Nothobranchius furzeri: one gene and its partner. Each later gene encodes a partner of the first gene's protein in a complex. Links are inferred from orthologs where the notes say so. Each region holds a gene or a part of one and is shown in the gene's direction. Other genes may lie near its edges.

Evidence for each region. The genes of interacting proteins can lie anywhere in the genome.
Region 2: snrpf (region 1) and ppil2 share a complex: the UniProt entries of both Homo sapiens proteins name them as parts of the minor spliceosome. The link is inferred for Nothobranchius furzeri from reciprocal best matches to the Homo sapiens genes SNRPF and PPIL2.

The regions. Positions count from the first base shown.
Region 1 is NC_091741.1:34,923,007-34,927,366, reverse strand, and holds the start of snrpf (small nuclear ribonucleoprotein F), read left to right. Parts: upstream 1-1,435; 5' UTR 1,436-1,572; coding exon 1,573-1,575; intron 1,576-2,698; coding exon 2,699-2,824; intron 2,825-4,360. UniProt on the Homo sapiens protein: Plays a role in pre-mRNA splicing as a core component of the spliceosomal U1, U2, U4 and U5 small nuclear ribonucleoproteins (snRNPs), the building blocks of the spliceosome.
Region 2 is NC_091750.1:38,489,732-38,492,160, forward strand, and holds the end of ppil2 (RING-type E3 ubiquitin-protein ligase PPIL2), read left to right. Parts: intron 1-1,556; coding exon 1,557-1,659; 3' UTR 1,660-1,785; downstream 1,786-2,429. UniProt on the Homo sapiens protein: Has a ubiquitin-protein ligase activity acting as an E3 ubiquitin protein ligase or as an ubiquitin-ubiquitin ligase promoting elongation of ubiquitin chains on substrates.

The DNA.
Region 1 (4,360 bases):
GAAAACATTAAAGCTTCATTTTAGTCGCAGCTCTTTTTCTGGTGATTTTTCTCTTTTTCAGCTTCTTCGGTCGATGTTTCCTAAAGCCGTTCGACTTGTAGAGGCAACGTTGTTGTTGTGATTGTTGTCATTCTGGTAACTTTGATCGCTTTTATGTAATTTTGTGTCTCTTTGTGGTCGTTTTGCTGATTTTATTGGTCTTTTAGAATAAATTGTAGTTTTCTTTTCATTGTTTGTTACTAATTTAAATGATTTTTATTTCATAACTTCTAATCTTTGTGACCATTTGGTGAAAATGTCATCTTTTTTATTTTATAGCCTCGTAAGACTAATTTTGCTATTTTAAAATCATATTTAATTAATAAATAATTTCCCTTTTGTTTTTGGTTGCTTTGCACGAGTTACTTTCTTGTGACTACAGTTTTTGCAACACTGCAAATTTATTTGTGTCTCTTCATCATTTTGCAGCTCTAAATACGTTTTTAAACACATGAAAAATATATTATGCTTTCTTTATCGGTTCAGTCGGTCTGTCTGTCTGTAACAGATTTTATTACGCCTCATGCCAACAGTAGTTCTCATACAACTCATGCACCCTCTGACTGGCCACTTCTCTAAACCTCGCGTACCGTCTCCATCCCATAACTGAGACCAGACTGTCTGATGGACGGGTTAATTACACGTTGGAAAGGTGAGGTCGGGAAAATACTCAGTGATGTAAAGAAACAAGTATTTCAAACATGCAGAGAGAGATCCAGAGCAATTTCATAGGAATTTTTCTGACAAAACCCAGCCATTTGCTGAATGAAGTCAGATTTCGGTTTTATTCACCATGGCAGGTTTGAACTTGCCTGACTTTTTGGTAACAGACAAACGCTTCAGAGCAGAAAACATTTTTTAAACATCGGGCTTCTTGTGCCTGGAGAAAAACAAAGCTGCAGAGAGCAAGCATGACCCAGTTATGACAGTCGTGCCAGGTTTAGCTCCTAAACCGATATGTTTTCAATCAGTCACTGATCCTGCATGACATAAATAGAGCAGGAGTTCAACTCAAGGCAGATGACATGATCTTGTTGCTGAGAATGAAAACGAGTTTGAAGAAAATTATTACTAGTTTTTCCTGGACTTAATAACTGATTTTTTTTGCCATTTTCTTTTGTGAATGTAGAGGAGATACAACTTTTTGGACTGGACTTTATTTCTGTATCGTGCCACGAACATATAGCAGATACTCTATAAACAACTGACATATCAACCCCAGAGATCGTGCATACATATTGTAGGTGTTTAATTCACGTTTCGTTTATCAGCTCACAGTTTACTGTTCAATGGGTGACTGTAAATGAGAGGAAGAGGGGAAACTTTTGGAGCTTTACACTAAATCACTTGGGTAGCAGTTCGCTCATCCGGCCACTGGGAGGCGCTGTTTAAAGCACGGAGACTCGTGCCCAGGTCGGAAAGTTGTACTTCCGGTCGGCGGTAAAGCGTGCTTCGTGGTTTGCAAACGTTATCGAGACGAACATATTTTACTTTTTTGATTTAGCTTATTAAAGCTGTTTAATTTGATATAAAATGGTGAGTAAGACGTTGTATATCTTTATCGTCTTGCGAATGAACTATCAGGATTTAATTCAGTGTATTTTTGTTGTTTAGCGTTAGCCATGTTAGCTTTTCATTCATAACTTCGACCTAGACCTTTCACACCCTCAAACACATATTAACACAAAACTGGTGTTATAAATCTTCGGTTTCTTATTCCCTTTGGGTTGTAAGCCGTCTACTCGTTCATCACTGTTAATAAACAAGAGAAAAGACCGCAGAGGCTACATCAACCGCTAGCATCCCCTCGCTTCCTGGCAAAATAAAGTCCAAACTATTTCGCTAAGATCGTTTATCAAAAGCTTCCATAAGGAAATGAATATATATTAATAATATGTCTCTCGACCTTTAGCTATTTAATCTTTATAATGTGAGCTAACTCCTCAGGCCTTTAAGTCCACGGTGTCCTGTAGCTAGCCTTAAGAGAGATGATCGGTTTAAAACAAGCGACTCAGAATGAGCTAAGAGCATCTTTGGTGTGTGCTTGCTGTGTTGAAATTCTAATTCCATCTTTTAGTTATTTTTAAAACACAGAAAGGTTTTATTTGCCTGCAACGTTTCGTTTGCGGCTGCAAACTTCGTCAGGCTGACGCTGCAGGTAAATAAAACAGCAGTAAAGCATTTAAACCTTTTTATTAAACCACCTGACCCGGATTAACCTTTGTGTTATGGGAGAACATATTAAAATTTAATAGTGATTGAACAAAATAATGCAATTTAAAGAAAAATAACACTATTAGGATTTAACAGCTTGTTTTATTACACAGATCAGTTGCGCTGATTCATTAAACGTTTTTTATGAATAAAATTAGATTGGTTAAACAGCTGTTTGGCCATTAAGTAATTCATTAGTAAAGTCAATAAAAATGATTTACTTTGCAGTAGATTTAAAGTTTGGATTCTACGCAAAAACGTTTAATTGAATCCGGATTTCCTTCATGTTGGAGTGAGGAGTATCTGTGTTGTAGGACGGACGGCTGGGGGTACGCTGCTGTTCAGCAGCGTTACAAATTCATGAAATGTAGTCGTTAAATGCATTTAATTTTCTTCAGTAGTGTGGGATGTAATGGCTTTGCTGACCTCTGTTCTTCTTCTACAGAGTTTACCTCTGAACCCGAAGCCTTTCCTGAACGGCCTGACGGGAAAACCTGTGATGGTGAAGCTGAAGTGGGGTATGGAGTATAAAGGCTACTTGGTGTCTGTGGATGGATACATGAACATGCAGGTGGGTGCCGTTTCTCCTCCTAACAACCAAACCACAGAATCTTCTCACATGGAAAAATAAACCATTTAATTATTTGTATACCTGCTCAGGATTTGCTACTGCTTGATGATTTTATTGTGTGGTTTTATCTGTGTCAGACTTCTTTATTATCATAAATTTGGTTAAGCCAAATCAAAATAAATGATAAAATTAAATTTGTACCCCAGGAAAATTCAGCTCTTTAGACCCATCATCCTGCTTGTTTTCTATGTTTCTTTGCTTCAACACACCTGATTTGAGTCATTAGGCGAATAATGAGCTGCTTCAGAAGAATTAAGCTATTGAATCAGGTGTGTTGGAGCAGGTAAGGAACTAAAACATGCAGAACCAGGGCTCACTGATGTTCTTTAATCAGTTCAACTTCAGATCATAGTCAGACTGCTGAAAGGTGTTTATCTTCGTGTCCAGCAGGGGGCGTTGTTTGATCAGTTTGAGGGAATTTTTGCTAAAGAGACTGAAGTGAATAAAGTCATGGCTCCAAAATGTCTAAGGAAACTTCATGTAATTATAATTTTACTTATTAATATTAACAAAGCAGCCTATTTATCCTTCAGCAGCAGTAAAATACAAATGTTCCCAAAGCAGGGTGTGTTTTCAAATGTTTGCATGTATATTTGGGAACAATATCTAGGATATGCACCCAGTTGTCAGCGAAATGCAAATCAGTTCAACAGCAGTTGATGAAGTTCTAACAGCTTTTTAAAAGTCTAATCCATAAACCTCCACTGGAAAGAATATAGATGCAGGAATTAGGCCTGCAGCTATCGAATATTTTTGTAATCGAGTACTCTATCAAATCTTTTATCGATTAATCGAGTACTCTATCAAATCTTTTATCGATTAATCGAGTACTCTAATAAATGACCCTTTTGTGTTTGTAAACCATTATATCAAATAGCATGTTATAAAATATGAAAGACCTCTTAAAATGAGTACGCTATTGCCAGTTATTCTTCAAGTTTTATTCAAAATCAGTTTGCAAAACTTCAGCACTTCAACTTTACTTCACAGTAAACAAATGCCTGTGCAAAAAATAAGTAAACAACCTGAGCTAATTTCCCCCGGTGTGAGAATCTACGAGCCTGCAAGCCAGACAAAAACTAGGATAACTGTTGAAGTAGCGCTGCGAGTGGCTGCGGCCCAAACAGAACCAGAACCGCTCACGGCGCATGCGCAATCATGGCTCGCCAGCTGTTTCCCTATTAACACACGTCCGTTTTAATTTCTACACTTTATTTTCTCACACAATAACAAGGATTGTCGAGAAAGCATGTTTGCCGTGGTTTTGTCGAATTATACTGATCACAAAACATTTATTTACTTTCGTTTTCCTCTCATAAATACCCGCGTCCTCCTGCAGCAACCCCGAGGGACAACAGACGTCAATAACAACACAGTAAAAAGTCTGACGTGTTGTAAAAACAGCTATTTTTAGCACATTTTAAGACCGAAGTGTTGCTACCAGACGTACGGTGTGAGCTGAAACTGAGTGCTACA
Region 2 (2,429 bases), on another chromosome or scaffold:
ATAACTACTGTTCTCGTTTTAACGAGACAACTCCATGAGGCTCCAAAACATCAAACTGTTTCTCTACTTGGTTCTTAGAAATCTGATTGAAGACATTATGAATTAAAATAATACAAAAGACAGAATGAAGCAGAATTACCCCAAGATTCCACTACCTCCGCTCCGGTCCGCCCCCGCCCTCCGCAGCCGCTCGCATCCGAACTCAATTTTTACTGGTACCCGCTCTGCAACGGCTCCGCTCCGGTGCGGAGACCTGAGGTGCGCAAACAGGCATGCGCAGGATTTTCGAGATCTTGCGATACAGTCCGAGTAATAAACACGGAAGTTGGATCCAAACACCTGTTGTGTGGGAGAAGCATTGAAATGAACTGTTTAATCTGCCCATCATTTGTGTTGAGAGATCAGCAGTGTTTGGATCAACAAAGTGTGACTACTTTGATAGTGGAAACTGTATTTATGGCTTACTTTTGTGCATTTAAAGTTCAGCCGCCATTGATAGTTGTTAAAAGTTGTTAAACCTGTGCATATGAAACAAAAAATGCTTTTTGTTTATCGATTTATTGTGAAATAACGGAAGTTGTGCTTGCTCCCTTTCCTGTTGGGCGGTTGTGGTTTCTGTCCATTGACTGCGGAGGTGTTCCGGCGTCTGGCAAAAACAGAATCAATCCTATTTTTGCCGGATGGCGGAACGGCCGCTGTAGTGGAACAGCTCTGATTGACTACAACGGGACCGATTTTGCTGCGGAGTTCGTGCCGGAGCGGAGGTAGTGGATTTTTGGGGTTAAAGTCTCTTTCTGGAGTATTTCTTTTATCCCATGGCACCATCTAGTGGTTGACAAACATGTCACACAAAAAGTCTGTTGCTCTGTTTTTTTAAGATGGCGACTTCTCGTTTCTGTTTATAAATGTGCTTCTGTAGCGACAAACGGCTAAAACACATCGTTTAACGAGTATTGTGCTCATGTCATTTTGTGTTTTCATATTTTTATATTTTAAAGACTTTCTTGTCCGTGAAAAGTTCATCAACTCTGTATCAGCCGAGGTATTCCTTAAATTTGAAGCAAGTAAGCGGTAGTCTAACACTATTGGTTAGTTCTGGTTTCTTATTGCACGGAGCTCTGCAATATGTCTCTATAAAATAAAGACATATTACTGACATTATATCGCAGTACATGCTGAGACGATCACTTTTACGGATTTCTGAATAACCATACATGATTTCTGAAAGTAGAAAACTCTGGAAAGTTACTTTAACTGAATGGGAAAACGTCTCACATTGGTAGAAAAAGACAGCTGATTATGAAGGTCAGCCAGCATCAGTGTCCCGTCCTGGGGGTGTACCACGTAGATCCCAGATCCCACAATCCAGGCTCTCTTTGAAAATCCCGGTTTAAATACCTTAATTCAGTAACATGAACGTGGCTTTTAACATTGACCGTACTTTACTCAGATCAATAATTATTTCTGACATACGCTATACATGACTTCCATTTAAAATGAATTAATACTTTCCTCATTTATCTGCAGCAGATGATATTATGAATGTTCTCCTGCAGAAAACGTCCAGCAGCAGAAGATGAAAGCGGGCCGTCCACCAGCGGCGCTCCACCCAAGAAGTCCAAAGGAAAGACGAGTTTCGGGGACTTCAGTTCCTGGTAGCATTGGTTCAACGTGGTTCTGGATTCAAACGATCAGAAAAACTCGTTATTTTTCATTTCTTATTATTTTTGTCTCAGCTTTGTTACTGTTTTCTAAAACTACATTAAAGCTACTTTTCCCCAAAAACTGCTTTTGATTTGATTTCTGTATAAATTCTGCTTAAACGAAGAAGTCAAAACATAAAAAAAGAATTCTTATGTTTGTTGATGCTGAAACTTTGGTTGTGATGTGAAACGTGATTACGCAGATTTGATCTACGGGTGTTTCAGCAGCATCACAGAAAATGTTTAACCTGTAGTTTCAGAAAGAAGGTTTAAAAGCATTTTCAGTAGAAATGTCCAATGTTATCAGTCGGCCATTAACAACGGCATAAAAGTGGAATATCTGAACATATCTATCAGTCTTTTAATGAGCCAACTCTTACATCCCATACACATATTATAAATCAACTCTGCAGTTACTTCTGTCTCTCAAACTGTCAACATAACAAATCTGAGGTTCATTTTGAGATATTTTTGTTTATTTGGAACAACTTGTGAAGAAGAAATTTGCCCTCTGTAGTGAACGTACTCTGTCCTCACGGCACGTAGCTGCGTGTTGCTAGCAGCTAACAGCACATGTTTTGCTGGCAGCTAACAGCACGTGTGTTGCTAGCAGCTAACGGCACATAGCTACGTGTTGCTAGCCAGTAAACAACTAAAACAAAAAGGCTTGTTTTTAAAGAGCAAGTCACCCAAATCAGTTTTTTTTCCTGATAAACTATAAATATG